Linked DNA regions of Mytilus edulis. Each later gene encodes a partner of the first gene's protein in a complex. Links are inferred from orthologs where the notes say so. Each region holds a gene or a part of one and is shown in the gene's direction. Other genes may lie near its edges.

Region 1 (16,342 bases):
TAAATGACTAAATGTCTAATCATTTTTCAGTTTTATTCAGCTTCATGTAAACACAGAATTTGATAGCTCTCTATATCAACTGGTCATCCAAGGGTTGTTGCTTGATGGGTGCCATAACTTTTTTTGTTTACGAAGTTTTTAGAAATTTAGAAATCAGGTTATTGTATTTTTTTTCTTTAAATTTACTGTTTCAAATTTTAAATGGTCAGGGCCCTACATATCAAAATCCAGATCAGATATGATATTACCAACTTTCCAACCGACCTGCATCTCTTCAGTTGGGATATACGTTGTCTTACCTCGACCCTCCCCCTTTTTGTATTTATAATAAAATAGTTTTCTTTGGGTCAGATTTAAGCCAAAAATTATATGCTTGAGTCCATTTTTTTCTGACTGGTTGCAATGTAGAACACATAGAAACATAAAGAAATGGAAAGAGACTAGATACGTCTCCTCCTTCAGATCGAGGAACTCTCGTGCTCATGTAACAACACAACCACGTGTTTTCTGTTTTCCTCTGAAGTTTGATGCAGATCTATCACTATGGCAGTACGGGGAACTTTAAATAATTCAAACTTACTACTTTGAACTTTTCCTTTAATTGTTTTGCTCCATCAAAACATAAATCTTTCAGATATTGGTAGACAAAAGGTAAAACTTCTTTTTTCTGAGGTTCACCAGCTGTAGCCATTTCGAGACCACGCAAATAAAAGGACCGGATGTTAGTGAAATAAACAGTAAATCGAGTCGGTGATAAATCCGGCATTTGTGACTTCAGGTGGCACGGTAGTATTTCCTGGCCCATAAGGGATAATGATAGCCTTTTTAAAATTTTCACCACTTTCTAACACTGCAAAAAATTCTACATTCACAGTTAACTGAAGTACTTTCATTTTACTATTCAGAAATGAATTTGAATATGTATCATGACCGTTTACTTTTTTTGCTATTTTTAAAAACCTAAGGCCACTAGTACTTTTAGGTATTTTATGGTGCACTGAATACAAAATTAAAAAAAATTCTCAAAAATTCATTTTCATCTGTATGTAAAATTATTTCATATTTTTCTACACCTGATTCATCCCTCAGTTTGGGAAAGTATGTTCAGTTGATACTGTATTTTTTGTCCAATCACACTGTTTAGATACATTTACCTAAGTACCTAAATTCTGGAATGCAAATACTACCGTGCCACCTTCAGTCCTAGGGGAATATTTACTCAACATTTTTTTTTTAAATCTATTTGTAGAGGACAGTCACATATAGGGAAAACGGTAGTATTAAATTTCCCCATCATTATAGGTTGGCCTTTTGTGTACCCAAGGTAGGTGAAGGAAGTCAAATTAGGAGCGCTGTGATTGGATGTAAGGGTACAATATATTTTGTATTTATGTATGAATAACTGCAGTGTGTATATTTACAATATGAATTTTGAAACCTATTGAAATATTTTCTAGAGAATTATTCGAAACGACTTCCAAAATTTCATAAATTTGGTGCAAAATGACGATGGGCATGGATAAAATAAACAAGCTCCGTTATAGTAAAATTATGAATTGTCAAAGACAAAATTTTAGTATATAACACTTTGTAAAGTCGTTTCGACAATACTGTCATATCGGCCATACTTTTTAAAGTCGTTTCGGCAATACCGTCAGATCGGCTATACTTTGTAAATTTAAGTCGTTTCGGCAATACCGTCAGATCGATCATACTTTGTAAAGAGTTTCGGCTATACCGCCAGTTTGGCCATACTTTTGTAAAGTCGTTTCGCTATACTACCAGTTCGGCCATACTTTTGTAAAAATCGTTTCTGATATTCCAGTTCGGCCATACTTTTGTAAAGTCATTTCTGCCATACTCGGACTTCTTTTAAACTAAGTTTTACTGCGCGTATTGCTGTGTGTGTGGTTTTTTTTTCTACATAGACTAGATAGGGGGATGGTTGAGATCTAAAAAAAAAACATGTTGTACTTTGTAAAGTTTCGGCAATACCGTCAGATCGGCCATACAAAGTGTTTCGGCTATACCGCCAGTTTGGCCATACTTTTGTAAAGTCGTTTCGACTATACTGCCAGTTCGGCCATACTTTTGTAAAAATCGTTTCTGATATGCCAGTTCGGCCATACTTACCATAAAATCATATCGGCCGTACTGCCAGCTCGGCCATACTTTGTAAAGTCATTTCGGCCATACTCGGACTTCTTTTAAACTGAGTTTTACTGCGCGTATTGCTGTGTGTGTAGGGTTTTTCTACATTGGCTAGATGTATTGGGGGAGAGTTGAGATCTAAAAAAAACCATGTTTCACTTTGTAAAGTTTCGGCAATATCGTCAGATCGGCCATACTTGTTATAGTAAAATTATGAATTGCCAAAGACAAAATTTTAGTATATAACACCGTTTGTAAAGTCGTTTCGGCAATACCGTCAGATCGGCCATACTTTGTAAAGTCGTTTCGGTAATACCGCCAGATCGGTCATACAAAGTGTTTCGGCTATACCGCCAGTTTGGCCATACTTTTGTAAAGTCGTCTCGACTATACTGCCAGTTCGGCCATACTTTTGTAAAAATCGTTTCTGATATGCCAGTTCGGTCATACTTTTGTAAAATCATATCGGCCGTACTGCCAGCTCGGCCATACTTTGTAAAGTCATTTCGGCCATACTCGGACTTCTTTAAACTGAGTTTTACTGTGCGTATTGCTGTGTGTGTAGGGTTTTTCTACATTGGCTAGATGTATAGGGGGAGAGTTGAGATATTAAAAAAAAAACATGTTGTACTTTGTAAAGTTTCGGCAATACCGTCAGATCGGCCATACTTGTTATAGTAAAATTATGAATTGCCAAAGACAAAATTTTAGTATATAACACTTTGTAAAGTCGTTTCGGCAATACCGTCAGATCGGCCATACTTTGTAAAGTCGTTTCGGTAATACCGTCAGATCGGCTATACTTTGTAAAGTCGTTTCGGCAATACCGTCAGATCGATCATACTTTGTAAAGAGTTTCGGCTATACCGCCAGTTTGGCTATACTTTTGTAAAGTCGTTTCGGCTATACTACCAGTTCGGCCATACTTTTGTAAAAATCGTTTCTGATATTCCAGTTCGGCCATACTTTTGTAAAGTCATTTCTGCCATACTCGGACTTCTTTTTAACTAAGTTTTACTGCGCTTATTGCTGTGTGTGTGGTTTTTTTCTACATAGACTAGATAGGGGGATGGTTGAGATCTAAAAAAAAAACATGTTGTACTTTGTACAGTTTCGGCAATACCGTCAGATCGGCCATACTTGTTATAGTGAAATTATGAATTGCCAAAGACAAAATTTTAGTATGTAACACTTTGTAAAGTCGTTTCGGCAATACCGTCAGATCGGCCATACTTTGTAAAGTCGTTTTTGTAATACCGTCAGATCGGCTATACTTTGTAAAGTCGTTTCGGCAATACCGTCAGATCGATCATACTTTGTAAAGAGTTTCGGCTATACCGCCAGTTTGGCTATACTTTTGTAAAGTCGTTTCGGCTATACTACCAGTTCGGCCATACTTTTGTAAAAATCGTTTCTGATATTCCAGTTCGGCCATACTTTTGTAAAGTCATTTCTGCCATACTCGGACTTCTTTTTAACTAAGTTTTACTGCGCGTATTGCTGTGTGTGTGGTTTTTTTTCTACATAGACTAGATAGGGGGATGGTTGAGATCTAAAAAAAAAAAACATGTTGTACTTTGTACAGTTTCGGCAATACCGTCAGATCGGCCATACTTGTTATAGTGAAATTATGAATTGCCAAAGACAAAATTTTAGTATGTAACACTTTGTAAAGTCGTTTCGGCAATACCGTCAGATCGGCCATACAGAGTGTTTCGGCTATACCGCCAGTTTGGCCATACTTTTGTAAAGTCGTTTCGACTATACTGCCAGTTCGGCCATACTTTTGTAAAAATCGTTTCTGATATGCCAGTTCGGCCATACTCGGACTTCTTTTAAACTGAGTTTTACTGCGCGTATTGCTGTGTGTTTAGGGTTTCTACATTGGCTAGATGTGTAGGGGGGGGGGGAGTTGAGATCTAAAAAAAAAAAAACATGTTGTACTTTGTAAAGTTTCGGCAATACCGTCAGATCGGCCATACTTGTTATAGTAAAATTATGAATTGCCAAAGACAAAATTTTAGTATATAACACTTTGTAAAGTCGTTTCGCCAATACCGTCAGATCGGCCATACTTTGTAAAGTCGTTTCGGTAATACCGCCAGATCGGTCATACAAAGTGTTTCGGCTATACCGCCAGTTTGGCCATACTTTTGTAAAGTCGTTTCGACTATACTGCCAGTTCGGCCATACTTTTGTAAAAATCGTTTCTGATATGCCAGTTCGGTCATACTTTTGTAAAATCTTATCGGCCGTACTGCCAGCTCGGCCATACTTTGTAAAGTCATTTCGGCCATACTCGGACTTCTTTAAACTGAGTTTTACTGTGCGTATTGCTGTGTGTGTAGGGTTTTTCTACATTGGCTAGATGTATAGGGGGAGAGTTGAGATCTAAAAAAAAACATGTTGTACTTTGTAAAGTTTCGGCAATACCGTCAGATTGGCCATACTTTGTAAAGTCGTTTCGGTAATACCGTCAGATCGGTCATACAAAGTGTTTCAGCTATACCGCCAGTTTGGCCATACTTTTGTAAAGTCGTTTCGACTATACTGCCAGTTCGGCCATACTTTTCTAAAAATCGTTTCTGATATGCCAGTTCGGCCATACTTTTGTAAAATCATATCGGCCGTACTGCCAGCTCGGCCATACTTTGTAAAGTCATTTCGGCCATACTCGGACTTCTTTTAAACTGAGTTTTACTGCGCGTATTGCTGTGTGTGTAGGGTTTTTCTACATTGACTAGATGTATAGGGGGAGAGTTGAGATCTAAAAAAAAAACATGTTGTACTTTGTAAAGTTTCGGCAATACCGTCAGATCGGCCATACTTGTTATAGTAAAATTATGAATTGCCAAAGACAAAATTTTAGTATATAACACTTTGTAAAGTCGTTTCGGCAATACCGTCAGATCGGCCATACTTTGTAAAGTCGTTTCGGTAATACCGTCAGATCGGTCATACAAAGTGTTTCGGCTATACCGCCGTTTGGCCATACTTTTGTAAAGTCGTTTCGACTATTCTGACAGTTCGGCCATACTTTTGTAAAAATCGTTTCTGATATGCCAGTTCGGCCATACTTTTGTAAAATCATATCGGCCGTACTGCCAGCTCGGCCATACTTTGTAAAGTCATTTCGGCCATACTCGGACTTCTTTTAAACTGAGTTTTACTGCGCGTATTGCTGTGTGTGTAGGGTTTTTCTACATTGACTAGATGTATAGGGGGAGAGTTATAAAGTCCTTTTGTAGTAATGTCCATCAACCCGTATTGTCATATACACAAGTAAGTATTTTAGAGTGGCTTATTAACTGGATCTTGTGATAGATTGGTCAGCCAACCGTCATTAACCTTTTGAACGATACAGTCAGCGCTCAGGACATCATAATAAATGCAGCGGAACGTGAAGTGAAAGGAAAATGTTAGCTTCTAACCATTTTTCCTGACCTGAAATAAGAAGTCTATCACAAATGAATGAGAGCAAACAGTGGCAAGACGAGTATAGCACAGTTGGTTCCCATAGTAATGCAGATTGTTTTTGAAGAAGACATCCTCCGAACTTTACAAAATGTTTTAACTTAATCATCATCGGTATCTTGTTATTAATCTAAGATCATTTTTTGTTGTATACTTAGAGTATTGTTTTTTTATTTAACATCTACATCTATACTATTGATCGGCAGTTTAAAACATAACACAGATACTGCTGTTTAAACGTTAACCTGCGTGCTAAGTATTTACAAGTTCATTTAAAATTGGATAGTAACAGGTGGTTTCTGTTTACAGCTGCAGTTTCAGAAGTTGCTCTTTGACACATTACAGAGAGGCAGAGCCAGTCGATGATGGTGCGTTGTATATAGCTGTATTTGTAGGCATCTGTGGAGGTACTGATATGAGTGAATTGTTCTAGATGGTATTGTTTTATTGAGGTAGATGGTCTTGAGATCTAAAAAAAAAACATGTTTAACCCCGCCGCATTTTTTGCGCCTGTCCCAAGTCAGGAGCCTCTTGCCTTTGTTAGTCTTGTATGCTTATTAATTTTAGTTTCTTGTGTATAATTCGGAGTTGAGTATGACGTCCATTATCACTGAACTAGTATACATATTTTTTTAGGGGCCAGGTGAAGGACGCCTCCGAAGCGGGGGTTTCTCGCTGCATTGAAGACCCATCGCATGGTGGACGTCGGCTGTTGTCTGCTCTATGGTCGGGTTGTTGTCCCTTTGACACCTTCTTCATTTTCATTCTCAATTTTATTCTCGTGTATGTTGGTATGTTGACTGCCGCCTTTCCATGTGTGGCTTTGTAAAACATGCTCAATCTACTTGATTTCCGTCTAAATTATAGCGTTTGTCATTCTAGGGTTTTCAGGATGTTTGTAACTATCCCTGGTACTGTATGTTGATGTCGCAAATCTGGCAGTCGGTCATCTTTTTTTTCATATCAAGGGAGTCAATGTGATGTATTCCGCGATATGGATCCCATACTGCAGAGGCGTACTTAATTTAAGATGTGGGCGCACTAGCGATGTATATGCCTGCGCTTTGATATCTTGTAGACACTTCCAGATGTTTGTGTCTTAGGAATCCTAATACTCGGTTGGATTTTGTGATAACGTTCTTAATGTGTGAATCCCAACTGAGATCTTCTGATAATTCGACTCCGAGGTATGGATATTGGTGAACTGTGGATAGTTGTTGTCCCATCATTTCATACTCTTTTATCGTTTGGTTTTTTTTTCTTGTTACCCTCAGTGTGTAGCATTTTAATAGCTGGGTAGAATGTCATTTGCCACCGCTCCACCCGTTTAGTCAGTTCTGTCAGATCTTGTTGTAGTTGTAAGTTGTCCTCGATACCTTTAATGGATCTATATATTAGTAGTAGCAAGTCGTCAGCAAAGAGACGGAGGGTGAGGGAGGGTTGATGTAATGACATTGTTTCTGTCTTATCGTTGGTGTATATTAGGAAACAAAGTGGTTCCAATACCGGACCTGTAGAAATCCGGATCGTACTCGGATTTGTTCTCACTGGCTTCTCCATCTAGACATACTCTCTGGTGTCGCTGAGTTAGCCATGACGAAATCTATTGTAGAGTGTTATATATTATTCACTAGTGTGACATTTTTTTCAGAAGTCTTTGTTGGGGAATGTATCGAACGATTTTGAGAAATCAAGAATAAGCATGCTATTTGTCCTCGATGGTCCAGTTCTCTTACAACTGTTACTATGTGTTAATAAGTTGGGTTTAACATGATCGGTTATGTCTGAATCCGTGTTGGAAGTAGGATAAGATTTGATGTTCTTCAAGATGTTCCATGATGTGCATATAGATTATGTGTTCCATGAATTTACAACATATTGTGGTTAACGATACGGGACGGTAGTTTACTGCTTGACTTCTGTTCCCCTGTTTGTCAATGGCTGTGATGTTTGCCTGTCGACAATCTTTAGAAACTTTCCACTGTCATAGGACTGTTCATATAATTTTGTTTGGGGAACGGTTGTGTTTGTTTGTCGTCAATCTTCAGAAACATTTTCACTGTCATAGGACGGTTCATAGAATTTTGTGTGATGAACAGTTGTATTTGTTTGTCGCCAATCTCCAGAAACATTTCCCCTGTCATAGGACGGTTCATATACTTTTGTGTGAGGAACGGTTGCGTTTGTTTGTTTGTCGCAAATCTTCAGAAACATTTTCACTGTCATAAGACGGTTCATAGAATTTTGTGTGATGAACGGTGCAATTTCGCAGTGTGCTTCTGATTGGTAGTTCATCTAGACTGTTTGCTTTTGTTGGGTCTATTAGTCAAAGTTAAACTTTTTCTCAACTCTTTCCGATCTGATATGTTACTTCCTATTGTTTGGAGTTGTACTGGTTCCCATATGTGGTATATTTTTTGTATCCTCTGTCGTGAAGACACCATCATATTGAGTGTTCAATATTTCTGTTTTCCTTTGCTGTCATGATCTCCGAGGTTGTTCTGGAGGGATGATATTCCCATTGTGTCTTTTTGCTTGATTTTATATATTTCCAGAATTTCTTGCCAATGTTTGGTTAAGTGTTATCTTCGTCCTCTTGATTTAGGATTTATCGAACATAATTGTCGTGGGCCTCGTTCATCTCTTCTTGACAAAGTCTCTCATCTGTTTGTACTTGTGTCATTTTGTTTTCTTGGTGTTGTGTTTTAGCAGCACTGTATCTACGCTGTCTGCTTCGTGTCTGTCTTTTGATATGTGTAGAGATCTAAATCACATGTTGTTTTCTACCTATACCGAGTTATATGTGGGCCAAGGCCCATGATGAATTATTTATATATACAAATAGTTGCTTGTAACATGATCTCTTTGAAGTATGTCCAGTTTTCTTCTACAGTGTATTCTTCCATGCTGTTAATTCAGTTCCCAAAATTGTCTAGGAAGTTTTCTTTGGGTCCAATCATAGCGGTCTTTTTAAAAAGGTACACTGGGTTTCTTTTTGATGAAGTTTGGCTTTCATATCTTTGCTACTTCGATTTTACTAATAAGTCCTCAGTGGATTGGTTGTCATGAGTAGGTTTAGTGTGTTTTGTCCTTTAGTTGGTTTACTTACTATTTGGTTCATGTCGTAGTTATATGAGATTTAATTATGATTAGCTTCTTCATTCTGTGGGTTATTCGGGTTGTTTGCTAGTTGAGATGTGGCAGATTGAAATCTCCTCTAAGTATGACATTTTGTAGGGTTTAGGCTTGTGTCCACGAACCGATGCAGTAAATAGATTTCTCAAGTTCTTCAAGTTTTTCGATGACAACTTATATTTCAATGCAATGCCAAATTATGTTTTATAGCTGGACTAGTTCTTTCAATTGGAAGAAATTAATTTTAATATACTGATTCCTGTCCTATCAATTTTTTTCAGAAGGTTGGTCGAGTTTTAAAAAAAGTCTTTCAGTCTTTTTTTAAATTTCAAATTCACATGCAGGTTCCAGTATGCACTACAACTGCATTTACAAGCCAGTTACAATTTTACAAAATTTGTTTAAATTCTGAACATTAAACCACATATGTCTACATACGAGGTTTTTTTCTCGTTTGGCCAGAATACATATTTGAGTTAATTTACTTTTTTCATAAAAATATTTTTAAATACAACCAATATTTTTTGGCAGAAAATCTTAGCGTCATATGATTCTCATGTGGTAGATCACATATTTTTCCTAGAGTTATTTCCCGTGCAAAATAATTTTTGAGAATTTCAGAGGGTGGACGTTTTATAACGGGAACAGCCTGGTTAAATATTGCAAATAGGATTTTATCTCCTAAAATTGCACCAATTATTCTTTGTTCGAAAATTCTGACATTTTACTTTATCTTCGTTATTTTAACTTTAGTTTGAAATTTTCAAAGTCAATAAACTGCTACATGCGATCTATGCACCAATACTGTCAAGGAAAAAATGAAAACAGATACATTTGCATGCTCAATAATATCAGATTTTCCCGTCTGATTGACGTCAATAGAAAGCCTTCAGGCAATCAAATGCTCTTCTGTTCATCTCCCCAGAGTAAAGGTCAAATTTTTGTTTTCTACAATATATACGCCATAGAAACGCTTCGAATAAATCTTTAAAGATGTTATTTGAATTTTGAATTCGGATTTGAATTACATTTGATGCAAAATCAAGCCATTCCATTATGAAATTGTCACTTTTTTGAAACAATACGTGGGAGGTGAAACGATTAGCTAATTGAACAAGCCGTGTTGAAAAGAAATGCCTCGGACGCTTCACAACTCAATATTAGTATATCTGCGCTCAGTGGACAATTTACGCAAAAGAATTCCCGAATTTGATAGAAGTCATGCTCCGTGTTCAAATTGTATATTTTGACACAGGAAATGATTGTTATTGTTTTTAAAGTATACATAGCACCCATAACCAATATTTTCACGATCCCTATAGAGGCGTATGAATCGCTATTCTCTTCCGATATTCCCGCTTATTGAAGAGAACAACATAATACACTGTTTGATAAGACCATGCTGCCATCTGACTAAGATTTACCCTATTGCAATCTGCCTCAGTTCGATACATGCGTGTTTATTGACAATATTAGGACGCACCGCAATTCAAGAAAAGTATCCCGAAACATGTGAGTTGATTATTCATAGGTGTCACGGTCAATTTCTCGCTCTAGAAGGGTGGGTAAATAGAATTATGCTGAAGAAACTCTTCTGTGTATACAACAAAGACAGGAAACTGAAGCAACTGGAGTCGACCGGAGGGTCAGGAACTTTTCGGTAAGTGAAGTATGGAAAATGCTGGCCCTGGTAAAGGGCATACTAGACAAGTCAAGAGCAAAAAGCTTAAATCTCCGAAGAATTTACGGGGAAACACAATGGACTCGTTTCAAGATGGAGGCCAACAAAACATGAGCAATGAACAAGGCGAATATTTTAATCAAATTGAAGGGCCTAACATGAACGTTGATATGAATAACTATCCTCCATCATCTAGGGAACAGATGATGGGGGTTGACAACTACGGAAGAATGAACCCAATGATGCATCCAGGGCAAATGCAAGGGTACAATCCGTATAATCGTGAAAACTTTAACCCAGGCGATCAACATGGCGGAATGGCAGGAAGTTCAGAAATTATTAATCAAAATACTTTTCAGGCTCAGTATATGCAGCCTGGAATGAAGAGTGGACATCCAGGCAAACCGAACATGATGCCTATGAGGCCACAAATGGGCCCAGGTGGTCCAGGAATGCCACAATCCTATCCACAAGGACAAAGATCAATGTTGTCAGGACAAAGCATTTCACAGCAGTCTGGACCAACACCAACACTAAATCAGCTTCTGCAGACACCAAACACACCGGGGAGGATGCAGGGAAATAATTATGGTGAATATCACCAGAAAGTGGCACCCGAAATGACAGCGCAAGGGACACCATATAACATGCAGCAAGGTTGGACTGGAAATAGACAACCAGCCAGTTTTCCACAAGGTCCAGGGACTCCCTATAGGGGTCAGGTAAGTTGTATTTATCTACTTTCACTTTGACTAAAGGAAGTCATTAACTGCCATGTGACACTAATCTATTGATCATGTTTGTATTGCCCGCCAGAGTTGTAAATAATCTTATCAATCTAGTTTCATAATTACTTTTTCTTCCAAGCGGTTATTGATAAGCTATACTCAATTATAAAAAACATAAATAGAAAGAAATATTGCATTCATTATTACCAGGATTTATTGGTCATGCATTTTTATCACATGAATGAAAAATCAATTTTGAATTTGGAGGCAAGACTGTTGTGACCTTTGTCTGATTGGCTGGGAAGACCATAAAGCAATCAATTAATCTCAGTCCTGGGATAATCTATTTTCATTTGTGTAGATAATAAAAGCATAGATGTTGGAAATCCCCTAAATTGTTGAATGACATCCAAGAAAATGAAAGTAAATCTATTATTGACAGATGCTTTGAAATTGTTTACCTTTCTGTATGCATGAGTAATTTTATGGAATTTGATATTTCATGCATTAAAATATTATTGATTTTTATATAAGACTTTAACAAGATTCATAATTTTCTGAGACTTTGTTCTGGTAGTTTTGTTTTCCGATATTTTAAGAGTTTGTTGCTTGTGTTAAATTCATTTTTAATTAAAATAATCTTCTGTGCATCTTTTTGATTTGACTATTATGTAAATTTTATTTGTGTGAATACATGTATATATACTGCTCTGCTAAGATTTTTCAAATGGCAAATGATTTTCCCTCAATTGACAATTTTTTTGCTGGTAAATCTTGTGTAAAAGGATGATTGTTGAAGTTGTAAAACCCTTCACTTGATAACAATGTTTTATTATCACTGGGGTAAAGCTGATGACCGTAACTGCATTCACGGTCATCCCAAGATGTCGGATGAAAAATTAGGTCAGTATCTGTATTGTCTGTTACAGTGTTTCTATATCATTTTCTTTACAAAGGAGACATTGATTCGATGTAAATTTATAAAAGATTCACACGGAAATCACAAATTACTTCCGAGAAATGTGCATGAAACGGGAAATTCGATTTAAAAAAATCGCTAAGATGACCGTAAATCACAATCGAGATGACCGTAACAGAATCAGCAATTCAAAACAAGGGTGACCGTAATTGGTTAAAAGATGACCGTAATTTGTAAAGGATGACCGTAATTTCTAAATGATGACCGTAACTTTTAAAGGATGATCGTCAATTCTAAGAAATATCCGTATTTGTATGACTACTTTTTTTGTATCAAATGATTAATGGTGTTGATATAAATCATATTTATATGAGAGTATTATCCTATAGGTAGGAGAAAATAAGACGTGCTTTAAATACAGAGTTCACCATATATATCTTTTTTTACGGTAGAGGGTATAATTTTTAAAATGAACATACAACAAAACATGCACATGAAAAAGTGGGGAAAACATGCAACAAAAGCGCGATTAAATGACACCTAACAAGTATAATAAAAAAAAAAAAGTGTCCTGCACAGCCTCTAACTAAAAGCCAAAAGGTTTTTTTTTTATTTCTGGAATTCCTTGTAATGACATATAATAAATGCACTTTTTAAAAATGCCAATGGATGTAGACTACAGCCATTGATATTATATCGTCTTTGATTTGTCTTCTATTTTGTCTTGCAAGTAAAATAACAGAACCTGTTTTTAAAATACTACGACCAAACTAGTGAAGGCGAGCTCCAGCAAAGTAGATCCTTAAAATAGTCTTATGCGTATAGCGTATCACAAGGGGCTGGGGCGGTCGGATGTAGCCATTTAAAAAAAAGGGGGGTCCCAACCCAGGGTAAAGGGGGTTCAAACTATGTGTCCCCATTCAAATGCACTGATCGGTAAATAAAAAGGGACCCCCTTTTGGATCCTACACTGAGGGGAACCTTGTCAATTTGTATATACAGCAATGTTATTCATGTTATTCATATATATATTAAGACAAACTAAGATTTTAATCTGCTTCCTCAGGCTCGATTACCATACACTGCCGTATATTCGTATGTTTGATTAGTGTTTTTTATGCTCCATTCATGGGCATTATGTTTTCTGGTCTGTGCGTCCGTTTCGTTTGTTCGTCCGTTCGTCTGCTCGTTCGTCCGTCTGTCCCGCCTCAGGTTAAAGTTTTTTTTTGGTCGAGGAGGTTTTTGATGACGTTGAGGTCCAATCAACTTGAAACTTAGTACACATGTTTTCTATGATATGATCTTTCTAATCATAATGCCAAACTACAGTTTTTTTCCCCATTTTAACGGTCCACTGAACATAGAAAATTATAGTGTAGATGAGGCATGTACTAGAGACACTTCAGAGGGACACATTCTTGTTTCTTCGACTTTTCGTCGTATCTCTGTCAATTTGTATTAAAATTTTAAAGTCGTTATCATCGGCAATAAATTAATATTTCATTGTTAACGAGAAATTTGCAATTTACTATCATTGTCATGAACTCAAAATACGGCAAACAGTTACAAACAAATTGATGAAACATGTTTATATCCGCTACCTAAGCCCCTATTGAGACAAACACAACAAAAAGCTATGAATACAAATACGGATATTCTTAAAATTGAGGGTCATCATTTAAAAGTTACGATCATCCTTTATTAATTACTGTCAATCTTTACAAATTACGGTCATCTTTTACAAGTTACGGTCATCTGTTTACCAATCACGGTCATCCTTGTTTTATGTTACGGTCATCTTGAAAATATTTTGATAATGATTTACGGACATCTTAGCGATTTTTTCAAATTGAATTTTGCGTTTCCTGAACATTTTTCGGTAGTAATTTGTGATTTCTGTTTGAATCTTTTATAAATTTACATCGTATCAATGTATACTTTGTAAAGAAAATGATATAGAAACACTGTAACAGACAATACAGATACTGACCTAATTTTTCATCCGACATCTTGGGATGACCGTAAATGCAGTTACAGTCATCAGCTTTACCCCAGTGATTATGTATGTCAATGAATTCAATCAAACAAAACATTATGATCAGGGGTTGCAACTCCAGGTGAAGTGAGTGACATCCTAGGATTGTCATCTTTGCGGTAAAAACTCATGCTTGTCATCACTGTATTTTCAGTTAAATTTTCTTGATACAATGCAAGCATACACTGAACTAGTATACATATTTCTTGAGGGGCCAGTTGAAGGACACCTCCCGGTGCGGAAGATTCTCGCTGCATTAAGACCCATTGGTGGCCTTTTGGCTTGGTTGTTGTCTGCTCCATGGTGGTTGTTGTCTCTTTGACACATTTCCCATTTCCATTGTCAATTTTATACAAGATAAATTATGAAAAACAAGAAATTTTAAATTTTTTAATGTAGCATATCATTCTGTTCTAAGATGCTACTCAAAAGTTTCTGCTGTAGCAATTATCCATGTTTCGTAGAAACGGATCTCACAATGATTCATTCTACTTTTTATGCCCCTGTTGTAGTGGATTGGGCATTAAGTTTTACCCTTGTCTGTCTATTCATTGTACTTTCCAGTGTTCTCCCCAGGCCGATATGACGCTGCGGTGCTGCAGCACCTTCATAATATTTTCGTTAATCCCGCAACGTCTTAATTGGCCGCTGTCCCTTACTACTTGATCCCGCAGCGTGTTAATTTTCACATTTTCATTAAAGTTTGTTAAAATTGTCCAGTTGTTGATCACTGCTGAGAGGTCGGTCAGTGTTACGCAATATCTGATAATTTATCGGACCACAGATGAATTATCACGTTGTGATTGGTTAAATGTCGTCACGTGGTGACCCCCTATGAGACCGTATGGGGTTAGTAAGTTTCATATGGGGTTCATGCAGTCTGCACGGTTAGCCACTAGTCCGATGCCCCAGACTAGTAAAATTTGGTTCGGACTAGTAAGTTTTTGCAAAACTTTGTTTGGTCCAATAAGAAAAATGTCAGAATATTGGTCTTCGGACTAGTAGTTGAAAAAGTTTTTGGTGCAGACTGTTCATGACGCGTTTATGGCGACGTCATCTATTAATGTTGTTGTGTTTCATTGTTTATTTTTCAACAAAACGCCGCAGAAAAAGTCCAGCATCTGATAAATTCGTTATACGGTCAACTACTGACCCCCTACGGATCCATAGAGGGTGAATAAAATTCATAGGGGACTCGGCCTCCGGCCTCACCCCCTATGGATTTTACTAACCCTCTATGGATCCGTATGGGGTCAGTAGCGAACTATATAACTTATAATAGTTTTACCTGAGCCATGCTTATCTCAGCCTTATCGGACTATGTTATCATGTAATAGCGTAAATGATCATCAAGAAGATAGATATTTTCAGAAGAAAATTAAAAAAAATTAAAAACTTCAGTGCAGAAATTGAAGAAATCGATCGCAAATACATTGTATTTAAGCATCGTGTGTGTGATTACTTGACAATTTATATGACAAATTTTTTCATTGGTCGAGAAGAAGAATCTATTTAAACACGTGATAGATTTGAATACACATTGCTAAAGATATGTACGATGAAAATTATGAATGAGAGTATTTGTAGTTGAAAAAATTAAAATAAACTTTGATTAAAGATAACGAGAAGTGATTTATTTTAATTGAAAGTGAAAAATGTTGCTTACAAGGTAAATTCGTTTCAAACTGTCATATTTTTAGGAATAAAATGTTCATTGAACATCGATCATGAGTCCGTGCGTTGGGAACATTTTATGTGACAATCAACACGGGTACGGAATCGTCGGTCTTCTGTATAATGTGACTAGTAAATAATTCCAATGGTCTTAACTTTAAGGAGGTTTGGTTTATATCTACCTGCCAAAGATAGGTTTTAACAATAATGCACACGGAAGCGTAAATAAATGTCAAACTATGGAAACTTGTCAGCTGTTCATTAACATATTTTTGTTTTAAAAAGTTGTATACCAACTATCTTAACCATATTCGATTTTATTATGCCCCACCTACGATAGTAGCGGGGCATTATGTTTTCTGGTCTGTGCGTCCGTTCGTCCGTCCGTCTGTTCGTCCGTTCGTCCGTCTGTTCGTCCGTTCGTCCGTCTGTCCAACTTCAGGTTAAAGTTTTTGGTCAAGGTAGTTTTTGATGAAGCTGAAGTCCAATCAACTTGAAACTTAGTACATATGTTCCTTATGATATGATCTTTCAAATTTTAAAGA
Region 2 (16,158 bases), on another chromosome or scaffold:
TTCAAGAATCTTTAGAAAACGTGATAATGACAGGACCAAATAAAAATGCAAATTTATACTTTATTATTTGTCAGAATCTACCAAGAAATCATGCCTGCAACTTAAAGGGAAACTTCGCAAAAAAATCAAAAATTGATATTATGTCCATTCTGTATAAAAATTCTCAAATTTATAGATATTAAAGTTTTATTCCGCTAGATAAGAGATCACCATCGATTTTAAATTTTGAGTATCAATTCTCTGCGTTCCGCCATTTTGTCATCTTCTACGATCAATAATCACGATATGTCTATAAACCACAAAGGACCAAAACTACAGTAACCGATGTAGTCGTAATTGCGTGTCGATATCTTGTCAATCGTACGATTGTTTTATCTGACTAACTAATTTGATACGGAAAATGTTCTCATTTTTTTTAAATAACCATAGTCTGTTATTTTTAAACTGTTAATATTGGAATTAGTGAAAAAGTCGAAGTTAAACTCTTAAATAAGTGTTCCGTGAAAATTGTTTTCGAAAATCTAATTCGTTCATAATTCTTTAAAGTAATAAACTTTATTCAAATAAATTCGGATCTTCGCTCATCTGATCACCAGCATGGCTAAAGGTATTACTCCCAAAGGTATTGTGAGGTGACACGTCCAGGTATTCAAGCGATTTCCTGTCGGGCTTGCAAGTTCATGCATCGTTTCACTTCTGTAGGTATTGGTCAGTGTACACGGCCGATAACTTATAACTTTCTATTTTGAACTATCAGGTCTATAATATACAGCTCTGTCTTGCGTGTCCGAAAGTGATACAATATACTAGTTATAACTTAACTCATACGCTTGTATATAAATAACATTTCTGATGTAAAGAATATTATTTATAAAATATAAATAATACCCCAAAAAAAAGATTTGAAGAAATAAAAATCTATTTACATATTTTTTCCAAGGGTGAATTTGGGAAAATGTAATATATACTCGTTGTCAATAGTAAAGGACAGATTGGAACATACCAGAAATATTGATTTAAAAAATGTACGCACTTGTCGACGATTCGTTTATACGCCTGGATAGAAAGTTACGGAACTATAGCGCAATTTAAAATATATACATATATACATTGAACATAAGAAAGAAACATACATTTTGTGTAAATTGGGGTCAAAGATTTGTAAATAGACTAGTCCACGTATGCCAACAGTATTTAATCAACGAATATTTTGATGAGAACATTAAGTAAATGATATATCAAACGTTCAAGAATACGCATGTAATATGTGTCACTGGATATAAAAAAAATCATTCTCAACACCTACTTCCTTATGGGACTTCCCCTTTCAGTGACCTGCAAATTTAACAGATGATACACTTTCTAAGATTTATATGTCCAACAACGACCCACTGCTCTACATGTGTTACTAACAGCCTAAGATAGAAGTTCTTTTGTTAGGTCAATTCTCTTTCGTACAATACCAGAAAACATGGAAAATAAGTTCTTTAAATTTTGACACTGGAATTAATACCATTTTTTCGTGCGAGAAACTTTATATCTGGCGATGAGCAGACATGGGCGTAAAAACAATAAAAAGATAGGTTTATTATTTGTTCATTTATTTAACATGTATAATATGAATATCATTTAGTACACTTCGGTGACGGGTCTATACAAAAGCAGAATATACCATGATGGTTTGATTTCGTCAAAAGATTTAAGAGATCTGACAAATAGATTATCACTTCAATATTGCAAGACACCCATTTATAACTTTTTACTTTTGCATACCAAACTTTCGCAAAAAGATGAGTCCTTTGATTAAATAAGAAGTTGTGGTTTGTTTTCTTGGGAGACACGTACCCAAATGAAGTGGACTTAAGCAGCTATATAAGTCACGGTATGGCCTTCAACAGTGAACAATAGTAAAAGTATATTGTATAATTCAACTAAATGTGAACATGAAAGAATTAAAGCAGACATATATATTTTATCTATACATATACAAAAGAATATTTTGAGCCTCAAATCTAGCATATGTCTATTTTACAACTATTCTGAGTCTGACGTGTCACTTTCACATTCTTTGAAGTCTTCATAAACACCATCTTGTGACGGAAATGCTTCCCTAATAATGTTAACAACACAAGCTGGAATAGTCACTCTGTTTCTCTTGCCAAGTGGTTGTCCTTTTCTGACCCAACAAACAAACTGACGATAAGCCATTAGTCGGCTTTGGCTCTGAGTTAGTACGTCTGGAGCTCTCCCTCTATGGCGCTTGTACCTCGAAAAAATTATATAGCTGCCTGTTGTCCAATCCCTTTGTTTAAATGTACATTTGATACTTGAACAATAAAATATTTTGAATTGAATATAGCTGGTTTCAAGAACAACCGGGTTCAGGCAAACTGTTCTGAAATCGATATTGTCACTAATGCATTCACCCAATTCAATATTACCATCAAAGAGAGTAAATTCGTGGCAACAAAGACATTCTGTCAATAACGGCATAACTATGCATTTAGTACACGAACACAAATCTGTCGGGTTAAAATGGCGAATGTAGGACAGAAAGTCACAGGACAAAAAGTCACAGACAAAAAGTCACGGACAAAAAGTCACAATTCATTTTTTCTGATTATTTTCTTTGAATAAAAAATGCTTATTTTTACAAAAAAAATTTTGTATTTTTCTTGAAGTATTGTATATGAACCAGCTTTGTAAGCAAAAGTTATCAAAAAAATAGCAAAGATGATCAAATAATTGTTAAGAAAACAAAATGTCGAGGTAGATTGGCACTTAAATGGCTTCATGGTGCCAACAAATATGACCTTTGCATGATTAAAATTGAATAAATCTTTTTTTTCTCAAGTAAAATGATAAATTTCATTGACTTTAATATGAAATTATGTATTAAAAAGTAAGTATTTCAAGATATTTCTCTTATATATTCAAAAAATTGTAAAAAAATTATTTGTGACTTTTTGTCCTGTGACTTTTTGTCCTATCAAATTTGTGACTTTATGTCCTGTGACTTTTTGTCCTGTGACTTTCTGTCCGTTTACCAAAATGGCGAGGGTTGCTAAGGATATCTTGATTTCGGGAACTTTCTGCAGCTTCCATTTCATAAAGCTGTTCTTCGGTATACTCTGGCTCTAGTGCGTACCCAAATTGACCATACTCGTCAAAAGCTACCTCTCTTGACGACCTGGAACCACTGTTAGTACTATCATTCTCCGAACAAGATATTTTTAGTTATGATTTTATTTTTTGGACCATATATACACTGTCCTATAGAAACAAGCACGCACAAATCATAAGAGAAAAATATGTGAATAAGTTAATTGAATTATCAAAGTTAATATCCTTTGGTCTCGAATGTATGTTAACTAATTAATGTGTTTTTATAGGCTAGCTCAAATCCTCATCCAAATAATATAATCTATATGTAATAATCGTTTCCTACCACACCAAGATTAAATGCCAAGCGGTAGACATATTTTAGGTACTAATTAAGTAATTAAATGAACAATAGATAACAATCATTAATCATTAATGTGCAAAGATTTAAAAACAAAAGTATTTTTTCTTTGTTCGTACATATTATATTCCGCTTCGGTAGAGTTGTCTTCAGATAGTTTCAGATATTAATTAATACATGGGTTTCAAAAGTCTAAATGTAAGTGTTCTCGTACATTTTTTGGCCTGATAAAGACAATCAAAATGCTTTGGTAAAGCTATTTCTAATTTCTAAGTTCCCCTTTTTTATGAGACATAAATCAAGGACAAGAGGTGTATATCATTTCATTCTGACACATGAATTAAGTTTCCCGTCTTTAACCGAAAATTGTTTATTTCTTAGTAAATTAATTTATTTGAATTCAAATAAATAATAGCACCAAATATAATTAAATAATTCCACGGCGATCTATTTTCATTTGTCACCAACTTGAATATGTAGTTTAAATGTGTGTATTAAATGCTCCCTTGTTTTATAACCCACTAATCCCAATAGACAGTCACACCTGGCAAGGTGTGCCCTAGAGGCGTGGTTAAATACCGAAGTGCAAATAACAATTTACCTTTAAACAAGCCATCTACGAGTATTGCCACAGAACCGTGAATACACACATCGTATAAACCTAGTCATAGCAGAGACAGTAAAAGGTCAATAAGAGTACACTAACATATTGTCTTTACAGATTATTGTACTTTAATTTGTTCACCTTATCAGTCCGATAATGCATTAATCAAAAATAAATTTATAACTTTTTGTGTTGTCTAAAAAATTAATTCGGATATATACGATTAACATAGAAAATTTATCTCATGAATATGTACATTGGATGTCTGTGCGTTTTATCTTCTTATTATCGGCTGGTTATTAGATGAAGCATAAGTCATCGGCGCGCTTACGATTACGTTAAAATATCATTAAAAACCAAGACTTTTATTGATTGTATTTTAAATCCCGGCATGCAAAAACCAGGAGAAAACGTCACGACCTACAGGAAGTTGTTAATATTTTTTCATTAATTATTGAATTTCTCCTTTATTGCTGCACATATAGCGATAAAACTTTGTGAATATATATATTATGTCATAATGAACATATTTAAACTATAAGTAAAAAATCGTGAATTTTCCCTTTAACACTATAACATGTATAAAAAGTAGCATAACACCATAACTAATCTTTTTCTCGGGATACATTAGTTTGTTCTCAGGATATAATGTTTTTTTCGTATTTCTCAGGAAATCGTGGTACCGAATAAAGTTTTAAATCTTCTGATGTTTTTTTCTTAACCATTCTGTCTCAGCATTTTAACAAACTCTGTACTTTCTTCTATTTTTTCTTTCATCTCTCTCTTTCCAAGATTCATGAAGTATATTTTAGTGAATTTTATATTGACATTAATGCTGTTATAGCTTCTGTATCATTAGCATTGGTATTGTCTATTTCTTCTTCAGATGTGATTTCTGTAACCCCTCCCCCTTCCTATATTGGTATTTAGGTATTCACTCTCTGTGGACTTTCTCTAACGCTTACTAGATTACAAGCTATTTCAGATAGCATTTGTACAGCTCTCTTACTGTCAAAATGCTGGTCTAGTATTTGTACCAGTAGATATACATGTATCTGCTACTATTTGTATTGTCCATGGTTCTGAATCAACTGCTTCAACCCTTAACATTCATGTAGACAAACTAGTAAATTTGATTATAACAAGGTTCCCCTATAAAGCAACTTTTTACAATTAATGAATAATATAGTTATCTTTTGTTGTGAAAAATTAATAAGAAAATAAAGAAAAACAAATGCATATGATCTTAGTAGACAAAAAATGTATACATGTATAAAAATATCTGTCAAATATGTGATGGCATACATGTAAATGCTGAATTTACAGTGTTCGAGTCTAATGATTTGCTTGAATTATTACTCAGATGATAATAAGCTTTTATTTTATTTTATCTATATTAAATTATATAAAATATAGAAATATGATGAAATTATTAGCAATTGTTTATTTGTGCAAGTATAGTAATGACTTTTAACTGGTTGTTAATTGATTTCACAATTAATTATTATCATACCTGCCAACTTTCACGATTTAGGCGTGTACTACACGATTTTGACCCTTTGTCACGATTGCACGATCGTGATCGTGAAAAACCCTCTAAAACACGATTTTGTGAAAATCAACACGAAAAATATGACTGTTCCCGATTTTGAACTGTGTACAATGGAATACAATTGTGTTCAGCCAATCAAATTCTATGTTTCTCATGATCAAATTAATCAGCCAATCAAAAAAGTTTTCTCTCAAGAATATTCTAACATCCTAGATTTTGAACTTGTGTTGTATTCCTCTGTTTGTTCAAATCGTGAACATGGCAAATGGTTTTTCACCTGCAAGGAAGTTTTTACACAAAATAAGAATAAAAGCATGACTGATTGACAAACTACAATGATGCAGTACTACCATAAAGATAATAAATACTAGTTTATTCACTAATTTATTGATATTACACTTGCTGTAACAAATGTTATAAATTTATGTATTCAATTAAATTACCAAATTATTTAAAGTACAATGTACTGTTCTTTATTTTTCACATGGACAAAACAAAACCCCCCACATGGAAATCTCTTAAATGAGGGACTTCTCTTAGTCAAGGGGTCATTTTACTCTTGTAAAAAATAAAATAGAAAAATCATAAAATGTAGATTTTTTAACCTAAAATTGGGAAATTCTGACATTATATTTAGAACAACTTTCTAAATGAAGGGTCCAATTATTTTGAAAATATAGAAGATATAAGGCCAAGAACATATCAAAATTCTTGGACATGTGTTGACCATACTGTATAATACCAGATAGATCATAAGATGTATAGTTCTTTGGGAAAAGTTTCTTCAAATAATATGAATATATATGTGCTCATTTTTACTTAAAAAGTGGGTTTTAATGTCCTTACATTGAGGGGTTACCCCTAAGTGTTGTTCCTAACCTGATAAAGGTCCTTCTTTGTGCATAATTTTAAATTGGAAAAGTAAACAATTATTTAATATCCTTACACATGAAATTAATTCCTGGTCTTGCAGCCACATGTTCATCTTTTCTACTGATATATAATAACTAGAATCATGCAAATAAAATTAAGAAAAAGGCATGTAAGCTCATCTCACAAATATGACACTTTTTCTAGACCACAAAACAGCACACTCAAAATAGTTGTCGCAAAGTATTAATGTAACCTTTGAAATTGTTGTCGTGCGCTAAAACCCCCATGGACACTTTCAAAAGTTGGCAGGTATGTATTATCCTCTATAATCTTTTTGAGTTCATTTAATATCCCTTTGATCTTCAATATAGTCTAGTCAACAATACAACTACAATACTGGTATATCAGTAATGTACGAGTATTGCTGGTTTTTTTAATAAAAAGTTACAATACTGGTACAAAATTTTTATACCAGTATTGTGGACAATACTGGTATACCAGTATACACCTTATCGCTATTTCCGCTTGACCCGAGAATCTGTTCCGCTTGAACTATTGGCGTCATACAACAATCACTTTTCCATTGTGGCGTCAGATATTTTGAATTATGACGTCAAAATTTTACGGGACCCTGTGTGATGTCCAGTAATGGCGGACAAATAGCGATAAGGTGTATTGCGATCACCAACTACAGGAGATCCTGTTAAAGTGTTACTTTGGGGGGACAAATAGATGGTCGAATTGAATACTCATTTGGAGACGCTAGGGGACGAATCTGCTTGTGTGTGAAGTCGGTAAAGAGGAGATGCCAATGAAAAATCGTGCAAGTTACAACATGCAGACCCAACAAAAATCAAATAAAGTTTAAAATCTATTTGCAAAGTGTTTGTGCTTAACGTGAATAAACGGCGATAAACTGTTGAATTTTGATAAAATTTTCAAATCCTAACAGTTATATATTAATCTAAATGTTACCTTTTAGGCAAATTAATGTAGCAATATTTGTAATGAACCGCTTCTATGGACGCCGGAAGTTTCAATGGGAGACAACTTTTAAATTTAACCTTTTTTTGAGGTCAAGGTTGAAGTGACTTGCGTCAGATGAATGCGCATAGAAAATAAAGCCATCGACAACTCAACAAATGCTTTGATTATTGTTGACCTAATTATAGAATTTACCTTTATTTACAGACACCGGTAAGTTTACTTGTGTATTGGATTAGTCTTTGGCGCGGTTTCTAATTATTTATGATCGTTAAACACAATTTAATGATTTATGTGTGTTGTAAAGTCGGTTCTTTGTTCGTGTCTGTGGTGTCGATTCTCTTCTTGGTGGAAATATTTCCATTGAAACTACCATTGTGATTTAGCCATCTATGTTTATAGACATCATTCTATTCCATCGTAGTTATAATAATGTGTACAGTATATGATTATGAAGTCATACTATCAAATTCAGAAATATTTTTCAGCAATATTCAAAAATATTCATATCATATCATATAGAATACAAATTTGTATAAATGATTTGTTGAATTTTATTCATTGTTATAATTTTATATTCTTTTACCCTACTTAACTTGTGATCATACATTTTGTATAATATAAAAAGGTTCAAATTATAAATTTATATGTGCTGCCTTCTGGGGTTTTATTAATAAGCTATCAGAAACGACAAGAAACATCAACATGATCAAGAAGATTCATCTAGCACAAGAAGACTAATTTAGGGACAAGAAAACTAACTTATAAGCCTTAAGAAATTCAGATTATTTATTTCAAATAAATAGATATAGAAACGTGCATCAAAGTGTTTTAATGCCCGTGCCGTAGCGGATAATATAGTAGCCTGAAAGTTAATATTAGAAAGACTAAAGTCATAATTTTTAATAAGGCTGGAAGGAAAATTCAGGAGAATTTTCGACTGCAGAATAACTTGATTGACTGTGTCGCTCATTACAAATATTTAGGTGTTCACTTTACTGCTTCTGGAAGTTTTCATCTAGCTAAAACTGAACTTTATAATAAGGCTCTTAAAGGGAAACTTCGCAAAAAAATCAAAAATTGATATTATGTTTATTCTGTATAAAAATTCTCAAATTCATAGATATTAAAGTTTTATTCTGCTAGATAAGAGATCACCATCGATTTTAAATTTAGAGTATCAATTCTCTGCGGTCGGCCATTTTGTCACCTTCTCCGATTTGCAGTCAAGATATGTCTAAGGACCAAAACTACAGTAACCCGATGTAGTCGTAATTGCGTGTCGATAGCTCGTCAATCGTACGGTTGTTTTATCCGACTAGTTAACTAACTTGATACGGAAATTTTTTTTTTTTTTTTTTTAAATAACCAGGATCTGTTATTTTTAGACTGATAATATAGGAATTAGTGAAAAAGTCAAAATTTCAAATCATAAATAAGTCTTCCGTGAAACTAGAATTGTTTTCGAAAATCTAATTAGTTCATAATTCTTTTATGTAATAAACTTTATTCAAATAAATTAGGATCTTCGCTCCACTGATCACCCGCATGGCTAAAGGTATTACTCCCAAAGGTATTGGAGGGGGTGTGAGGTGACACGTCCAGGTATTCAAGCGATTTCCTGTCGAGTTTGCAAATTCATGCATCGTTTCACTTCTTAGTGTATTGATAAGTGTACACGGCCGATAACTTATAACTTTCCATTTTGAACTATTAGGTGTATAATATACATATCTATCTTGCGTGTCCGAAAGTGATATTACTAAACTCATACGCTTGTTTATGAATAACATTTCTGGTGAAAAGAAATTTATTTATAAAATATACATGTATGTAATATATATACGCAACTGGAAGTACACTAATACCGAGGGATGTGAATATTTTCCAGGAAAACTATAGAGTATCAAAGTTTCAAATCAATTTCGGGATTTATTTTCTCTCTTGATATTCAATGACAGCAGTTTGCAGAATAAACTGCTTGTCCGTTTTACTGGTATTCTGGCCAGTTGAAACAGACTTATAATTACATTAAAAAATAGGGAAAGATGACATTTAATTCGTTCATTTTTTTTTAAACATCGTTGGTCAAATAGCTAAAGTATTATATATAGTTACGGAGTGAGACGAAGAGTATTTTAAGAAGGACATTCCCGATTATGTATAAATTTTGTTGATGTTTTTCACACTTGAAAAGCATATCTGTTCGTAATTTGTTGATTCCATTCCAATTAGATCCTTTATTTCCTGTCAATTTTTTAAAACATTTTTTTTCAAATATCTGAAGTATTCATGTGTTGTGAGATTTAAAATATTTTGATGAGCACATTAATTCCTAAATAGGTAATTAAAGATCACTTTGGATTGACTAAAATATATAATTGCAATTGTTAATGATCTGTTTGAAATATTTAAGGCTGCCGATCCTAATTTGAAATAGTACAATTTTTAGTTCATAAACTCGTGTTTAGAAGGCTATTTTTATTTATAAATACTTCAATTAAAATAATTCAGTATTTTATCGTTACTAAAGTATTCAAAAGTCATAATTCATTAAAAGTGATCTTGTGCAAAATATAAAAAATATACAACAGCTATCCAGTTATTGTGCGATCTTATTATTCCCGTTAATTAATTTTAATTAATTTTTTTTACATTCATGTGTCTGAAACTTTGTCTGACTCCCGTTTACAATTGATACGAAATGTTATTCACACCTGAAATGCCAGTGAACCGTGACGCCTAGATTTCACTGAATGATGATCAAAAGATTAGAATTACATAATGCTAATCTTTTAATTACCTTGAGTTAAACTACGCATTCCACATTCTTTAGGTGTCACAAAACAATACACATTTTATTGTTTCCACCGTACAAGTAAGTGAAAATGATTGCTGGAATGAAGCAAAAAGGTCAGAATACAAACATGTATTTTTAATACACTATCGATCATGTCAGTTTCATATGTTTGTTTAAAGTATTTTTAGAAAAAAAAAATCATAAAAATGTTCTATTGTATGATTTACTTTTATTATTAAAATTCGTTTTAAAAAATCCACACGATCTAATTTTAAAAGTTGCATGGCTATCACTTATTTTTCGTTGGTTAATAGCTACACCAAAAGTCGTCGATGCGCTTTAAATCGCGTTATTAGATGGTTAACGAACAAGACTTAAATGAGATATTTTCACTCCCGGCATGCATCAAAGACTTAAACTACGTCACATAAGTCAGGAAGTTTCAAAAAATAAAATTAATAATTCCCAATTTTCTTCTTTATTAAATTTCATATCAAAATAAAACTTGGTGAATATGTTTTTTATGGTATTATGAACATAATAAGATGAAAAGTGAAAAATCGCGAATTATCCCTTTAAGGCCTACTATAAACTTAGAAAGGATTTTATCAATTTGTCTCCTGGAATAAAATCTTGTGTTCATATTTTTGATCATACCCTTAAACCCATTCTGTTATATAATTCAGAGGTATGGGGAGGTTATAATGTCTCTTGTAATAAATTACAGTCTTCCTTATTTAATCTTGAAAATATTTTTAAAAATCTTAAGTGTGAGAATCTCCATCTTAAATTTTCTAAATTTATACTTGGTGTACACAAAAGGAGTGTCAATTTTGCTGTATTATCAGAACTGGGACGTTTCCCCTTACATTATGATATTGTAAAGTCAATTGTAAAATACTGGTATAGATTTGAAAATCTTACAACTGAATTCAGTCTATTGAAAGATGCTTATAAATGCAGCCAAGAGCTTCACAAATCTAACATAACTTCTTGGTTCTCATTTGTTAAAAAAGTATTAGAAGTTTTTGAAATTAAACAAGAAGTAAAACATTTCGGACAATATAAATTTTTGAACATATCTAGTAAATTAATTCACACTAAATATATTAGCAATTGGTATGCTAGCCAAAATAAAGCTTCTGATGGAAAACTGTTTAATTATGTGAAATTTAAGCAGAATTTTGGTTATGAAAATTATCTTTCTTTAATTAAGAACTTTGATTTTAGAAGATCTATATGCAAATTACGTATTTCTGCTCATAAGCTTCAAATTGAAGTTGGTCGTTTTTCAAATATTCCACGAAATGAATGAATTTGCAAAAAATGCTCCTCTGGCTGTGTTGAAGATGAAATCCATTTTTTAACTAACTGTGAAAATTTTAAATCAGATAGAGATGCTCTCTTTGACTTTGTTTGTCAAAGAATTCCAAATTTTTCTATACTTGATAATCAGCATAAATTTATTTATTTATTAAACTGTGAAGACAATCAGGTCCTTAATGCTGTTGGTAAATTTATTAAAGTGAATATGAAGTAGTAATTGTATTGTAACTGTATGTAAAAAAAATAAAATTGTTTGTATCTATGTATCTATGCAAATCATTATTCTTTTGCCTTATTCATGTATACTCTGTATGCCCCTTGTGGGCCCTTAATTGGAAATAAAATATGTTCTGTTCTGTTCTGTATACATGTAATTCTAGAGTAATGCCTCTTTAGGCCAAAAAAAAATATATGTCTGTTTACGGTTACCCGACCGACCCTAAGCCATTTTATTTCAGTCGTAAAGTGAAAAATTAATAGAACTTGTCTCAAAAGCGAAGTAAGGGTTGCCAATAAATTTAATCAATTGCCTGTTCACAATTGTGAATATGACAGCCGTTTTAAGGAAACTGGCAACTCGTGTATTGAAATAAAAACTTCGCCGCCATTTTTTTCCAACCAATAACCAAGGGAAATAATCCAATCATTAAAAATTCGGGTAAACTCGGCCCATGGACAACTCGGACCACGGTAAGAAGGACCGCACAACTGAAAATACAAAAAATAAAATGAAGAAAAATAATAAAATGCCTTAAATGGAAAAACAGACCTACCTACATGTACCCTATTTATTTTGATGATGTAACTTTAAACAGACATATAATTTTTTTGTTGAATTTATACACAATACTTAAATCTAGTACAAATTTGGGTAGCGTCACTTCAGTTTTGTCCCTTTACACCTGTATATGATTTGCAAGTGGGGGCATCATCTGTGCCTCATGGACACCTTCCCCATTTTTTTTTAAGGTTCCACTAAAGTCAAAATATAGGACACTTCACAAACATCCAAACTGGTTCTTGGGGTGAACACTAAATTTTTCAAAAATATCTGGAGGCCTGGGAGAAGACTTTATTTGATAAAAATTGGTATGGATGGTACTGTTACATGCAATGCAATACAAGCTAATGTTGTTTTGTCACATATATATGTTTCAACCGGTTTGGCCACAACATAACACTTTCAAGTTTATTTACAATTTACACAGTATGTATATGTTAAGTATATTTAAATGATTATATGTTCCCATAGTTTAGGACTTTATTCATTATCGGTTGAAAAATACAATACAGGCGAAGTTCAGATTTTTATGCCCCACCTACGATAGTAGAGGGGCATTATGTTTTCTGGTCTGTGCCTCTGTTCGTCTGTGCGTCCGTTCGCTTCAGGTTAAAGTTTTTGGTCAAGGTAGTTTTTGAAGAAGTTGAAGTCCAATCAACTTGAAACTTAGAAAACATGTTCCCCATGATATGATCTTTCTAATTTTAATGCAAAATTATAGTTTTGACCCCAATTTCATGGTCCACTGAACATAGAAAATGATAGTGCGAAGTTCAGGTTAAAGTTTTTGGTCAAGGTAGTTTTTGATGAAGTTAAAGTTACATCAACTTGAAACTTAGTACACATGTTCCCTATGATATGATCTTTCTAATTATAAAACCAAATTATAATGTTGACCCCAATTTCACGGTCCACTGAACATAGAAAATGATAGTGCGAGTGGGGCATCCGTGTACTATGGACACATTCTTGTTTTTAAGTGTCCTAGATTTTGACTTTAGTGGAACTTTAAATAGAGTTGGAAAATGTAAGAAAATAAGGGAAAAAATAGGGCCTTTTGAAAATGTCATTACATGTATCTATTCAGTATCTTTCAATTGCATACATTGAGCATGTTAAGTACTGTATGATTGTGAGGCTTTGGAGCATATCTAGTGGTCCCATGGTTTTGACCACCAAATTTTGTGAACCACAGACAGTCACACAATTTTGGTATTAGTAATAGAAATTATAGTGAGGATTACCAGATTTTCTTCAAGGACTCTCAGGGGGAAAAAGATTCAGAGATATCTGTGACTAAGTTCAGCAGGAAACTGTGATTCATAACAGTTCAGGAACATGCTTGCTATTAAAGGGACACAATTGATGCCCACAGTAATTCCTAGAACCTGTCAATAAACTTTATTGCAGTAACGCAGTAAATTTGTCAAGCGGAAAATTTTTAGAAAACCTTGTTTACTTATTCTCAACTGAAATGTATAACTGTTAAAAAACAAATGTGATCCATACAAAAAACAATTAAGCAATTTAAGGATTGAAGGATCAAAGGTAAAATGTACATTTGTAATGCCCCAACCCAAATATGACATGTACATGTATGACCACTGAGTATACGGCGCAGGATGTTTGTGCTTTTACATACGTTTGCATTTTTATACGACCGCAAAAATTTTTGAGGTCGTATATTGGTATCATGTCGTGGTAAATTTTGCTAGCTTTAATTATACGACCGCATAAATTTAAAAAAATTTGTTGGTTGTATATTGGTGTCATAGTCAGCGTCTTCCGAACACGGATTGTTTCCTGATACTAACTTTTGTATAAGTAAAAAGAAATCAATAAAATTTTAACACAATGTTTATAACCACAAAAGGAAGCTTGGGATTGATTTTGGGGGTTATGGTCCCAAAGGTTTAGGAATTAGAGGTCCAAAGGGGCCAAAAACTGCATTTATCTAGTTTCAGGACAAGAAGTTGTGTATTAGTTTTTCAATTGTTCTGATATTGTACCACATTGTTTAATACCATAAATAGAAGGTTGGGATTTATTTTAATGGTTATTGGGCAAACAGTCTAGGAATTAAGGGCTAAAAAGAAGCATTTTTCTAGTTTACAGACAATAAATTGGAGTTATCTTTCTTTGTCCAGAATGGTTGTTGAATCACCTTAAACCAATGCCTCATGAAATTTCTTTGAAAATTTGAGTTATCTTTCTTTGACCAGAATAGTAGTTGAATCAACTTAAATCAATGCTGTATACAATATACAATGCAATATTCACTTTTACTACCAACTGATAAATTAAAGCAATCTTTACCATTCAGTGATTACAAGTATTTTGATTACTATTCCAACATAATGCTCTTTTACAAGTGGAAAAATTGAAGAATTTTTTCGTTTCCGTTCATAACTTAAGTTTGTCTCAACTTAATTTAATGAAATGCTTATTACCTCTAAACTCAGTTTAAGTTCAATTTTTAGCAGCTTCACTTTAACAGTTCTTGAGTTATGTCCCTTTATATCGTTATATGCTAGCGGAGGCATCATCTGTGTCCCTTTGGACACATTCCCCATTTTTTATTTGGCTCGCGGGTAAATGATTTTCAGAAAAAAATTGAACATTTATTTTTCATTACAAATTTTATTAATTACCTTAAGTAGTTGTTACTTTATCATATGGTACAAAAATTGTTCCAAAAAAATCAATACGTGTTTGCCCCTGGTGACTTTTCAAATGTAGATATCATTGAAAAAGCTCCAAATTATCTCCCTTTGGTGCAAAAATGCCATTTTTTGGCATTTAAATTGAAATATCCTTTTTTAACTCATAGGTGACCTATATCTTTTATTGTTGTTTTTGAATAAGCTGTACATAAACTAAATAATTGTAAAATTTAAGCGATTTCTGTAATTTAATTCTTTTTTTATTTCGATATTGCCGCTATTTCTCCTATTAATTCAACAAGAAAAAAGGACATTAACAAAAATGTATGCTTCTTTCGAAGACAGATTGTGAGCGTAAATGAACGGTGACCCCTTTTTTATTTCATTTTTCTATTAAGTTTAAGATAAAGTTCATTTATAGAAAAATATAGCGAAATCCTATATTAGATAAAAAAAAAATGATTTAGACCCGCAAGCCCCCTTAATTAATATTAATTTTAACCATGACTATGACATTTTATATTTTAATATTTTATATATATAAATAAAATGAGTAGTTATTGTTGCAAACTCCATTAGAAATTTGAATTGAGATCACTTTTGGAATAAGGGAAAGGGGGAGGTAAAAAAAAATTTGGGGGGTATGGGGGGGGGGGTCAATTTTTCTCATTTCAGAAAATAAAAAGAAAATTTCTTCAAATATTTTTTTTGGAGAGGTTTTTTTATTCAACAGCATAGTGAATTGTTCAAAAGCAAAAAAAAAATTTTTAAGTTCATTAGATCGCATTCATTCTGTGTCAGAAACCTATGCTGTGTCAACTATTTAATCACAATCCAAATTCAGAGCTGTATCCAGTTTGAATATTGTGTCCATACTAGCCCCAACCATTCAGGGTTTGAGCTCTGCAGTCGTATAAAGCTGCGCCCTGCGGAGCATCTGGTTTAAATGGACATTTGTGCTTCAATTCATAGATCACTTGAGTTTTTACAATATTTACTTCTCATGTCTTCCCTACTATTTTATCTGGGCTTTGGATCAGCAGTTTTGACCTGGCAGAGTTTTTTCATTATGGTTGAAAGTCATTTCATAGAGCATGCGTGTTTAAAAGTAA

Evidence for each region.
Region 2: trithorax group protein osa-like (region 1) and probable global transcription activator SNF2L2 share a complex: the UniProt entries of both Drosophila melanogaster proteins name them as parts of the brahma complex. The link is inferred for Mytilus edulis from reciprocal best matches to the Drosophila melanogaster genes osa and brm.

What each region holds. Positions count from the first base shown.
Region 1 is NC_092353.1:43,282,020-43,298,361, reverse strand, and holds the start of trithorax group protein osa-like, read left to right. Parts: upstream 1-10,081; 5' UTR 10,082-10,431; coding exon 10,432-11,163; intron 11,164-16,342. Other genes in the region: nucleolar and coiled-body phosphoprotein 1-like, read right to left, coding at 581-691. UniProt on the Drosophila melanogaster protein: Trithorax group (trxG) protein required for embryonic segmentation, development of the notum and wing margin, and photoreceptor differentiation. Required for the activation of genes such as Antp, Ubx and Eve.
Region 2 is NC_092344.1:5,665,540-5,681,697, forward strand, and holds the start of probable global transcription activator SNF2L2, read left to right. Parts: upstream 1-7,568; 5' UTR 7,569-7,689; intron 7,690-16,158. UniProt on the Drosophila melanogaster protein: Transcriptional regulator. Acts as a coactivator, assisting one or more dedicated transcriptional activators of ANTC and BXC homeotic gene clusters. Can counteract the repressive effect of Polycomb protein.